Linked DNA regions of Mus musculus. The protein of the gene in region 1 purifies or fractionates together with the protein of each later gene. This does not show direct contact. Links are inferred from orthologs where the notes say so. Each region holds a gene or a part of one and is shown on either strand. Other genes may lie near its edges.

Region 1 (6,122 bases):
GGCTAGGGCTGTGTGGTCAATACTAAGTAAGGCCAGGGTATTCTAGCCAGCTCAGGGTAGGGCTGCCTGACCCTGCTACCCTCATGTTCTGCTGCCCACTTCAGCTGCTGTAGGTGCTACAGGAAACAGCGTCCCATCAGCTCTTGCCCTGTCTTCCCAAAGGCAAAGGCAGCATTACATATTTGAATTTATCTTCTAAATACCCACAGTGCATTTTTGTTATATGCAGTTTCCCAAACTTCTTAGCAGACCTCCAAAGCAGCCCCAGCCTCTTCTGCATAATGTGTGTATCTGCCCCACCAGTGTGTTGTCTCCATTTCTCCTGGGGCCTGGGGATAGAGTTAGGTGGGACAGGAGATCCTCAAGTCTTCTGGGGGTAGGCCAGGGCGATCCCTTGGGAGTCTCAAATGTTGGTGTATGGCACCCTTTCTGTACTCTTATCCCATGTTTCCTACTGCCTTCCCCAGGTTTGATATCTGGGAGGTTTGATCATCCAGAGGAAATTAAGTATTTTTATATCAAATTATATTACAATAAATATTACAAATACTTTCTTTTAGGATTGTTTTAAGTCCTTGTTGAGGCCTGTACAAAACGGACATGACCGTCCTTTCTGATCACCAGCCTCTATCTAACACTATGGCTTTGTGCTCCGTCCACTGCTCAAAGGTGGAGAACAGCAAGAATAAAAAGGCCACTAAGTAAGGTGGCCAGCGCAGGACGCTCTGTTCCCACCTCCACCAAGGGCCCCTCAGGGGTCGGGGAGCAAAACATTATGATCTTCATCTGTCTCTATTCCAACTTCCTCCTGTGGGGCAAAGAAAGTAATGAAGGAGTCCTTTGGGCAAAGATTCCAGGGGAGCAAAAGAGAAGAATCACTTACAAAGAACTGCTTCTTGCTCTTGGGGTAGCCTTCAAGGATCGCATCACACAGCTCTGTGGTCTGACAAGAAACAAAGCCCCTCCTTATGAGGTGAGCAGCGGCAGTACAAGGCGCTGCCTGCCGGCAGGATCATTCCACACCAACTTCCCCGGTGACTGTCCCTTCCACAAGCACCCTGGGGTTCCCACTCACCATCCTCTTCCGCTTCCTCCACTCTTTACAGTACTTCTGTCTGTCTCTGTACACCTGAAAGGAAGGAGTGTGCTTGTCTGAGCTCCTTGTGTCTGTTCACTGCAGACCTGCACAGGCAGCCTGCAGCCTCCCCACTCACCTTCTCCTTCTCTTCTGGAGTGACATGGTTGGTAGCTGCTTTGATGTTCTTCAGTCTCTCTGTGTATTGAGCACACTCCTTCTTTAACTCCTGAATCTCTTTCTGCATCTCAGGAGTGGTCAGCGCACTTGTTAATTCCTTCAGCTCTGAAAACACATGTCCTCAAGAGTCACTTGGGACGAGTGAAGAAGGGATCCTGCCTTGCCCAGCAGGCGCGTCCCAGAGGTGGGAGGTCAACTTGCGTCTTGCTCTGGGATCTCTCTAGAATAGGACCCCACACTCTGGAAAAGCTCAAGAAAAGGCTTAGAGCACCATCACTCTGTTTCCTATTTTTCTTTCCTGCTCCATCTAAAAGCAACAGTGCCTTGTAAGGCTAAGCCGAGTGCTGTACAGATAATTAAAGGAATGGGAATAATAGATGCAGTGTGATCAAAGGGCCAGGGCTTGTCTTGCTCTGTTGTACTCAGAAGCCATAGCTAAGTCAGTCTGTCTGTCTGTCAGTCTTTCTTTCCTTCTTTCTCTTTCTCTCTCTCTCTTTCTTTTCTTTCTTTTTTTCCCGCTTTTCAATACAGGATTTCTCTGTATAGCCCTGGCTGTCCTGGAACTCACTTTGTAGACCAGGCTGGCCTTGAACTCAGAAATCCACCTGCCTCTGCCTCCGCCTCCCGAGTGCTGGGATTAAAGGCGTGCGCTACCACGCCCGGCTTCTGTGTTTCTTTCAATGCAACATCATAGGCACCTGGCAAAGGGGTCTTAGCTGCAGTCAAGGAACCATTCTGTTAGCAATTTATGACCTCCAAACCACGGCCCAGTCTTACCGGCCTCCATGTGTCGGCAGCTCTGCTGTAAGCTCTGCACCTTGGCAGTGAGGGCCACGATACTGGCATCCAGGCCGTGGAGGTCCGCATCACTCACTGTGTCAAACTGGTTCTGCCAGCCAAGAGAAATATAGCTGATTCCATGAGGCACAGAGAGAAAAATACACATCAGGGGAGGCGGCATTCAAATATGGAAGCACCAGTAGGTGACCCCTAAACCCAACAGTGGGAGAGGATGCTGGGGCTAGTGGTACAGGCTCCTCACTCCAGCAACCTGGAAGGCTGAGGCAGGGGGACTATCTGTACATTAATTAAGTGGCTGGGCATACAGCTCAATGGCAAAGTAGAGCAGAATAAGTGAGACCAAATGCTTTAGAAAGTCTAAAAATACAGTGGAGCTCTTGAGCCATCTTGCCAGCCTCAATCTGCATTTAGATAGATCATTCAGGATACAACATCCAAGATTAAACCTTAATACATCATTTTAGACAGGCGGGTCTGACTGAGAGCAGTGATGACACGTTAGATTTAACAACTGCAAAATAAATAAATAAATAAAATTGAGCTAGCCTGGGCCACGTAGTGAGGGCTAATCTCAAAAAAGAGGGTGGATGGGGGTAATCAGATATAATTGACAAATAGCCACACATATCAGGTGTATAAATAAGAGAGACAAAGACTTACATTCTAATCTCTGGGTTGAGAAGAGAGGTTTCCTGACAGAAAAATGCTAGAAAGCCAATTAGGGGGCAGAGAGTAAGCATTCAACATTGGCCATATCGATGCTGGTACTCAATATTATCTGGATAATAATTATCCAGAGAGAAGTCTGGGTAGGAGAATGTAAATTTGATGTGTTTGGGGTAGTGGGGCAGAGGAAGAGGAAAAATGATTTGGCAGGAAACGATAGCAGAAACGAGACTAGGAGTTGTGAGTCAGGGTCTTCCTTTGTTCATAGCTCAAATGAACACTGATGAAGGCAGCGTGCAGCGTACAACTGACTTAAGAGTATCTGAAGCTCTTTCATACCACTGATTAGATTATTTTGTGAGGTGCCTCAACACTTTTTTTTTTTCCCCGAAACAGGTTTCTCTGTGTAGCCCTGGCTGTCCTCGAACTGAGAAATCCACCTGCCTCTGCCTCCCAAGTGCTGGAATTAAAGGCGTGCGCCACCACTGCCCGGCATGCCTCAACACACGAAATGCTGAGATTCACTCAGACAAGCTCTCAGGTGAGTGTTAATCTGAGTTCTCACCTGATCGGCAAAATAAATTTTCTGCTTGCCGTAGGTCTTCTCTTTGATCTTGCCTTCCTGGGCCAGCTGATCCAGCGCCTTCACTACCGCCTAGCAGAGGAGAGGGTGAAACAATTAGCGCGACCCCAGACGGGGGAGATTTCTGTTGTGACAAGGAAGGCAGGACCCAAGGCTAACAAGGGAGTCCAGCGGGGAGGGAGCCCCCGCAAAGGGGGTTCTCACCGCCTTGCCCAGTCCATGTTCCTTCTGTAGGTTTCCGAACACGTCCTGGGCGCTGTAGGGCCGGTTTTGTTCTTGCAGGTACCTCAGGATGATCCCGGGGGCTGCGGGAGACGAGGTAGGATATGGGGGTCACCTCCGACCCCCTCTCCTATTCCCCTCCCGGGTCTTGCGGGCTTTGCCGTTACCTCCAGCCGCAGCCTCGGCCCGGCTTTTACTCATGGCCTTTCCCGCCACCAAACTCGAGAGCTGGACTGGTCGGTTGCTCCGGGAAACGCCTCCTTCCGGTGAGGAGGCGGGACCTTAACGCTGATTGGCTAAGGAAGAAGCCTGCCGGAAGAGTACCCGGACCTTCCGGGACCCCGTAGCCCTAGTAGCGGCTGTCAAGAAGTCGCAGTCCCCGGCCTTAGTGACAGGTCAGCGGCCGCCTCCTGGGCCCGCAGTGCTGCCTGTGGTGAGCGGTCCTTTCTATAAGCCGCCAGACCCTGTTAGGCCGAGTTTGAGCACTCGTGACCTTGAGCTAAACCCGCGTGGTGTGGGAGCCGGGTCATCTACCACGCCGCTCAAGGGTGCACAGAGCTAGTCCTCCACAGGAGTGGGACTAGTTTTCTCACGTATAAAGGACCTGTAGGTACTTTTGTCAGAGGGTGGCTGTGAACGCCAAGGACACCAACGATTTTCGTGTCGCATGTAGGGGGCGCTCGACACCTAGTGTCATTTGAACGCCCAAGAAAGACGGTTAGGAATGGGGGCTACTCAAGCCACAAAGCTTGAAGTCTCCAGTTATGAGCTGCCACACCTGGCAGGTGCTTTCCATTCCTGACCACAGTGGCCAGTCCGGAGGAGCCTGAAATAAATATTTCTAGTTTCTGAGGTCTGCTGACGGTCAAAGAGCAGCTGTCCTTGCAGCTCAGTGGAAGGGCACAGTATTAATTTTTCAGTCCTTCAACCTAAAACTTCATTAAGCCATTATTCAGAGCCCGGCGAGGTGGCGCACGCCTTTAATCCCAGCACTTGGGAGGCAGAGGCAGGCGGATTTCTGAGTTCGAGGCCAGCCTGGTCTACAGAGTGAGTTCCAGGACAGTCAGGGTTACACAGAGAAACCCTGTCTAAAAAAACAAACAAAAAGATAAATCTAAAAGAGAAAAAAAATAACAATTGACAAATGCCCGCAAGGTATTAGTTATATTTATGTCTTGGTTGTAGGGGGGAGACGTGGCCTCAAGAGGGAAAAACAGAAAGGGCAGGAGGGTCCCTGACATCCACCTGGGCTTCCTCTTCTGAGGATCACCACACCAGATTAGCTATTATCAGATTAATGAGAAGACTTATCAAGGAAGTACACAACGAAACAGCAGTCTCTTAAAAGATTGTTCTCATACAAGATTTATTCCCCTGCACCCCCCCACCCAGCCCAATTCACAGTGGAGGACTTGGGAGATTCAGAGCAGGTTCCACTGGTACAAGAAAAGACCTGGATTTGCTTGCTCCCCTTCCCTCCCTCTTCCTCTTGCCAACTCCCAAAGCATGAAGCTACACACACTCATGCAAACACGCAAAACCCCAAGCCTTTCCCTCACCTCCCTTTTTTTGTTCTTTTCCACATCATCGAGTTCACCTGTAAGACATCTACCTGGCTCTAAGGAAAGAGATGTCCAAAGTATTTGAGAACCCTAAAGTGGGGAGATGCCATTATTATGCCTAACTTTCACACTCACTGACTATGAAACAGGCACCTGCCATTCCTCTTCTCACTGTTATTCACTCCCTGGCCTCTATCTTGTCCATCAACCAAGAGCAAAAGTGTTAGCACAACCCCCAACCTGCAGCACATAAAAATGGGCTCTGTCCAACATCCCTCACCCAAACACAAAAGTGCTGGGGGAGTGGTCCCTGAGGATCAGCAAAGGTTAATGCAAGAGGGAAAGAGGATAGAAGAATTTGGCTTGAGCTCTGATTTGGGAGACAGAGAGGCAGTATGCTGGCACAGGTTGAGAACCAATGATCATTTAAGGGGTTTTCACATGATTTGATTCGGGGCTGCAGAACACCTACCCTTGAGAATGGTCTCTGCTGATTACCAACATCCTTACTAACTGGGCTCATCCTTACAGGAGTTAGGAAGTGGTATGGTAAGAAGAGCTGGTGGCTCTTGGGATGAACGCCATGGCCATTTGTAAAGTGCTACTTTGCTATCCCCTGTGTAATTAGTGCTTCTCCAGAGGAGGAGCAAGGGAAGGAGGAGGGACATAAACATGGATATGATATTGCTTTGCTCATTGCTCAGATTGATGGTCAAATGGAGCCAAGGGTTAACAGCACCAAAGACAACCACACAGCTCCAGGAGCTTTCATGAGACCTCAAGGTAGGCACTCACCAACCCAGCCAGCCAGCTGATCCTACAGCTCACGGTGATATAGCAGAGGCTCAGCCCCACAGCATGTTCACATTTCTCAAACTCTGCAAGCACTCTGGAGTGCTCAGGGTCAGCCCTCTAGAAATGAAGATGGGCTCAGGGACAGGAAGTGGGCCTGCTCTGCAGAACCAAAGGGCACACTTGCTTTGAGAACACAAATCAAATCATGGTAAAAGACACAGATGATAACTCCTGTAGC
Region 2 (6,164 bases), on another chromosome or scaffold:
TCTCCCACCCTCCCCTATCTGTCCCCCTGGGACACAGCCACTACTCAGCCCTTCCTCTCCTCAAATCTCTTCTTTGATCTCATCTTCTTTAGTTTTAATTAACACTTGCGATGAGCCCACAGATCTTTATATCTGGCCCTAAATATGCTCCTGAACTCCCATCTCATGTAGCTACCTGCCTGCTGGACAGACTTCAAACTCAACAGATCCAAACTGAATTCTTTCTCTCCTACACACACTCCAAACCTGCTATTCGACATCTCAGGTCTCAGATACGCTCTTTACTTATGCCAAAGACCTGGCAGCCATCCTAGGTGCCTTCATCTTTTTCCCAATTACCAAGTTCTGTCAACACTGGTTCCTAACTATTCTCTAATATGTCCTGCCTGGCCAACTCCATTACCTCTGCCTGGATTCAAGCCCTCATTGGCTATCACCTGCGACTGTCCTCAGCTGCCTAAACACACTTTTGTCTCATCCTCTAACAGAAGTGGACTGTGCAGCTCCTTAAAACCTCTGATGGTTCCAATCCTCATATCAAGCATCCTAATAGGATGTAGAAGGCCCTCTATCACCTGACCCCAACCTACTATTTAAAGTAGATCCCACCCCCAAATTTACCATAACAAGGTGAAAAACTATGTAATTTGGGTGATGGTGGTGATGATGATGATAAAATTATTCCTCTACCTAAAAAAATTTCTCCTCTGCACACTCAATACTCTGAAAGTTCCCCTGAAGCATAATTTGTGCATTCTCTCCACCAGCTTCCCTCTGCTGAGCTCACAGGCTGAGTGTGTGTTCCCAAGACACATTTGCATTGTATCATTTACTGCACTCTCTCAGCAGACTGAGAAAATTCAGAATATCCACTTTCCTTTGCCTTCTTAGGACTTAGCAAGCTGGTTAGATAGAGTTGACATAGAAGCCAGCCCTCAACTTCAGGACCACAACCAGTAAAACTGCCAACTCTAAGCTGCTCAAGCTTCAAAGCCCACAACACTCCTAATTATACAACCCAGGGTGAGTTAAGTAGCAGGAAAGCCCACGGCCATCATCTTGCTTGCAGAGAGAAAGCAAAATGCTCTCTCCAAGAGGGTACCCAGGCTCCAGGAAGCTCCGAAGAACTGCGGTCTAAACCTCAGGTTCAGAGCTAGAATCCACGAGGGTTCTATAAGCCTTCCCACACTGCTCTCTTACAGTAGCTGAGCCAATCATGAAGATCACACCCAGCAAGACTCCTCAGCTAAGCCTCCCTCACCAGTGAGAGCAAGCTACCATATATATACTCACCTAAGAATTTCAGAAAGGCTACTGCCTCGGGCACCCTGTGTAAACTACACTGCAGTGCTAGTGACGGACCTGGGTGTGTACATTTAAAAAGTATCCTCCACTGTTTAACTTGCTTTTCTCACTAGATTACCAAGGACATCAGGGGTTCTGTGAAAGAAATGGAAATCTCTTTAGGGTACAGTGCCTTTGCCCTAAATGGTTCCAGGGACTTGGGCCTGACAGGAGCAGTGAGGGAATGAAGGAAAAGCAGAGCAGAAAGCTGGGATTGGGTGGTCTGGGCTCTTGGATGGAAAACCTGCAGCACTGCAGCTCAGTACGTGCATTGTAAAGTTGAACAGAGAGGCAGGGTACTTCTTACAGTGGGGCCTTACATACAGATAAACATGGAGGCAGGGTTATTACATACATCTGAACACAGAGGCAGGTTTAACTAATCTTGGTAACCAAGGAGCAGTCTCTCTAGGGGAGTGAGTGGTCTTCAGGCCATAAACGTGCGCAAGGGAGCAAAGCTAGTGAACATTTTCCACACAGACTGTCAAAACTCGCACTCCTCTTCTGGGGGAAACATAGCCACCTCTCTAAGCCTGGAGCTGGGGGGGGGGGGGTGTCTCTGATGAGGCCATGCATGTCAACAACACAGGTTCACTGGGGTCTTCACTCATTCAAGGCTTGCTCAGCTCCCTACATTAGGACTTAATCATGTGGCTAAATCAGGAGAAAACAGAGCCCACATCTGGGGTGACAAATCCTAATATTTTGGTATTATAAACAGTTTCTGGAAAGTTCTTTACAATCCCCCAGAGGCAAGCAACAAGGAGACTCTAATGTCCCGGGGAGCTCAGTTTCGGAACGCTCTTACTACCACAATATAAACATCATATAAACGCAGCTGAATTGGAGCATGACTTCCAGCATGATTTATCCCTGTGCCTTTTAGGAGTTCTTACTAATCACAGTTGGAAACATCCAAGGTCAGATTTAAAACAACTAATGTAAAATGGACATCATACTGACATTAGAGACTTCAGCAAGAAAGAAAAAGAACGCCAGGCGGTGGTGGCACACGCCTTTAATCCCAGCACTAGGGAGGCAGAGGCAGGCGGATCTGAGTTCAAAGCCAGCCTGGTCTACAGAGTGAGTTCCAGGACAGCCAGAGCTATACAGAGAAACCCTGTCTCGAAAAAACCAAAAAAAAAAAAAAAAAAAAAAAAAGAAAAGAAAAAGAAAAGAAAAAGAAAAGAAAGTCCTCAAAACTGGGGAGGGGTATTTCCTTGTGGTAAAACACAGATGCCTTCAGATTATGAAGGAGACGCAAAGCCATCTGGGGATTACAGGCCTACGTTTGTAATTGTTTACCTGCCAAAGCAAGCCAAATCGAAATAGTAATTCACATTCGGAAAGAGGTCAAAAGTTTAACTTTGACCAGACTAACAGTGAACTTTTTCCTGCTCATATATAAAACTAATAGCAATACCTGCGTGAAGAGTTAAGAGCCATTAAATCCCTTTGGCAGTAGGCAACTGCCCTATAAAGAGGGTTAAATAAGAGGGTGAGGCCGGCACATCAATAATTCCTAGTTCCTTTTAGTCGGGTACTTAAATTCTACAAAGAGAAACATGATAACACCAAACACTGGTAACACTGTTGTTTTGAATCTGGTCCTGGGCTCCTTGGGCCATTGCATGCCCAGGTGGCCCGTCTGTTAGTTTAACCACAAAGAAGCCGTTATCAGTTATAATTACAGCTGGGCAATTTTTTTTTTTTCAAATAAATGCCCAACGACCTGATCCTTGTCCACCCTGTGTGACGACCAAAATTAACTAAATTAAGATATTAAAATCTGGGGTCACTCTAGCGACTCGTTGATACTCTGTCGCCAAAAGTGGAAAGAATGACACAAAACTTTGAAGGTAGTTGAAAAAAAAAAACGATCCAAAGGGCAGAGAGTCATTAAGTCCGAATAGACAACGGCGATTGGTAGTAAACCAGGATTGGCCCGCAGAGAGCAGGGTGGGGTGGGGGGTGGGGGAGGCTGGGGTGGGGGGTGGGGCGTCCTACCCTGCCCTTAAAGGCGGGGGTGCGGGGTGGGGTGGGGGTGTCACTGCCATGATCTAAAGGCGGAGTGATCTGGGCGGCTCCTGTTAGCATACTAAGTACAGTGGTGGGGTGCAGCTGAAAAAGGGGAGCGCCGTGCCAAGCAAGTAAAAGGCCCCGGGTTCTAATTCCAGGAGAACCGAAGGGCACTGAACACTTCAGTGGCCAACTCCGCAGCGCGTGCGCCCTGGGGTTCTCGGTCGGGAGCCGCGGATCGGTCCAACTTGCGGGGCTTCTGGATTCGGTTCTAGAACGCTCCGGTTCGGAACCAGGGCGGCGCAGGCCGCCATCAGGGCTCGGGCGCAGCAGTGGGCGCGGGGCCAACCTCACAAGGCCTGGCCAGGCACAACCCCTGCTGCCGCGGCCCCGAAGCCCAGAGGTGCGCGCGTCGGAGCCTCGCTCTTACCATGCTGCGCGAGGCGGCCTCCCTGTTTGAGTCTGGCGCCAACAACCGCGTGGGGTGGGAAGGACCGGAGGAAGTGCAGGGGAGATGCAACGACCCCTGGCGGCCCTGGTAGGACTGCGGGACCCGAGGGAGGAGCCGAGCCTGGGCGGGGCTTGAGAAGATGGGCAGGGCGGTGAGGGGCGCGGCCTGAAATAATGGGCAGGTCCAGTAGGGGAGGAGCCTGAGATGGGCAGGGCCGGACTGAGACCAGATGGACCAGTCTGGGTTGGGCAGCCTGTAGGCAGAAAGGAAAAGTTGGGGCCTGGCGTGGGAGCTGGAGCAGGGAAGGCTTCTGTTCCCTTCCCGTGCCTCTGGGGTTGCAGAGTTGCTTACTACTTAAGTGTTCAATGTAGCTTTTAGTTTTCTTTTTAAAAGGCAACTTTTGAGTCTTCGCTTTTAAGTGTGTTCTTTTAGCTTAAAAAAAAAAATATGGGGCTTTGGCTGCAAGAAACGAGTACATTTAGAAAAGAAATTCTTTTTCTATTTTATTTTATTTTTGTCTTATTTAATTTTATTATTTGGCTTTTTTGGGACAAGGTTTCTCCGTGTAGCCTTGGCTGCCCTGGAGCTCTCTCTGTAAACCAAGCTGGCCTCGAACTCAGTGATTTGCTTGCTGCTGCTCCCTAAATGCTGGGATTAAAGGCGAGCACCAACCTCTAGCCTTAAAAAGTCCTCTGATACAGAGCGGTGAGAGTGTACAGAGTAGTGCAGGTGTTCTGCATTACAAATGAAACGTAAATATTCTAGTGCTGCTGACTGTCAGACCTTAATAAAGAGTATGTGGGAGCTTTCTAAATTATTTCTTGCAACTACTAGTGAATCTGTCTCTCAAAGTTTCACTAAAACCTTTATTTTATAAGATAGGATAAACGTGATTAGCAAAAATCATCCAAAGCATTTACAAAGGAGAGCAATAGTCGGGGATGGGGGTGAGTATGTATCCAAACCTGCTTGCCATGCTCATACCCTGACAACAGGCATATAGCAGAGATGTTCCTGTCAATTATGTGACACAGAGTTTTCATCACATCCACTTTATTAACGCTTTTCTAGAGTTCTTAATTTGCTCTTTATCACAGTTACTTTTTTAAGTTTTTTTTTCAATCCTAGGTTTTCAGGACAGGGCTTCCTGACAGCAAGTCTCTCTCTCTCTCTCTCTCTCTCTCTCTCTCTCTCTCTCTCTCTCTCTCTCTCTCTCCCTTCCCCCTCCTCCTCTTCCTATGTTATTATTATTATTACAATAAAAATAAGTTTATCCAATCAAGTAACAACTATACAAATGCAAGCAATTTTAGTCATTTTCTTTTTGGTCAACCTATATTAGACCTGAAATCTTTACTGAAAGTTCCCAGGTGATGGTGAAGTGTGGTTGGTTGCTCATCTATGCACATAATTTATGTGTTTTAAAGACTGAGGTCAAAGCACAGAGTCAGTCAAATACTTGAGCAAAAAGTCAACCAATTAGAGCTTCTGTTGTACGGTGAACAGACCAGCTGAGAAGTAAAATGAGCTGTGTCAGTCCCTAGAGGCGTGTGGGCTTATGGAAAGAAACAATCTGAGTGCTGTGTGCTCAGCAGGGTGGGTTAGCCGGGGAACCTTGTCTCTAGAAGGCAAGCAGTTTGCTTTATAATCATCTCGCAAATACCTTTTAAATCCATGCTTTAAAGGAACTGGAATCATTCCTAGCTACTTAAAATACAAACTCTTATGAATGAGCCACAAACATCTTTCCCCAACCTTTCAGACTGTGAGCTCTGAGTCTTGTATGCCGTGGGAGGGAATAGCTGAACAGTTAACTACTTTAAAAGCAAGAGTTTCATCTGCAGAAGATGAGAGGTATCATCTTGTCAAAGATGGGGAACCTTCAGAGCTAACTAGCAGGCTACAATCTGGCAGTCTGTCATATTTCAGCCAAACAGGCCCCAGCCAGTTCTCAGACGGAGTGATGTTTCCTTTCTCTTCTCAGTGGTGTTCTTGTCCCCTATGTGGGTGGGTCTGATTTTGTTCCCGATCATTCTGACAGCTAGCATGCCCACACACTTACTCTTGTTTACCTGGTGTCCCCAATCCCCAGGATGTCACCTGTCAATGATGGCTTCCAACCACTCAGCAGCTGGTGGTGCTGGAAGAATGTTGCCATGCTAGTGGAACAGTGGCTGGGGGGACTGGGACCCCAGTGACTCCAGAGTCTACTAGGCTTCTCCCACTCTAGCTTCTAGCACCCCTAGTAGTCTAGAATCTCCTGGAAGCAAGATCCAGGGTCTCTTTGACTCTACTTCCCCAGGGCTGCGGTCACAAACACACCACCATGTCCAACACTTCATATACATTT

Evidence for each region.
Region 2: the proteins of Psmc3ip (region 1) and Mnd1 purify together in Homo sapiens (co-immunoprecipitation; 6 studies listed by BioGRID and IntAct, counting the BioPlex papers as one, with this or other methods). This does not show direct contact. The link is inferred for Mus musculus from reciprocal best matches to the Homo sapiens genes PSMC3IP and MND1.

What each region holds. Positions count from the first base shown.
Region 1 is NC_000077.6:101,091,649-101,097,770, forward strand, and holds Psmc3ip (homologous-pairing protein 2 homolog), read right to left. Parts: upstream 3,788-6,122; 5' UTR 3,729-3,787; coding exon 3,695-3,728; exon of another isoform or gene 3,611-3,694; coding exon 3,510-3,610; intron 3,378-3,509; coding exon 3,288-3,377; intron 2,167-3,287; exon of another isoform or gene 2,145-2,166; coding exon 2,033-2,144; intron 1,361-2,032; coding exon 1,215-1,360; intron 1,130-1,214; coding exon 1,076-1,129; intron 944-1,075; coding exon 884-943; intron 809-883; coding exon 752-808; 3' UTR 493-751; downstream 1-492. UniProt on the Homo sapiens protein: Plays an important role in meiotic recombination. Stimulates DMC1-mediated strand exchange required for pairing homologous chromosomes during meiosis.
Region 2 is NC_000069.6:84,151,869-84,158,032, forward strand, and holds the start of Mnd1 (meiotic nuclear division protein 1 homolog), read right to left. Parts: upstream 3,919-6,164; 5' UTR 3,797-3,918; coding exon 3,794-3,796; intron 1-3,793. UniProt on the Homo sapiens protein: Required for proper homologous chromosome pairing and efficient cross-over and intragenic recombination during meiosis.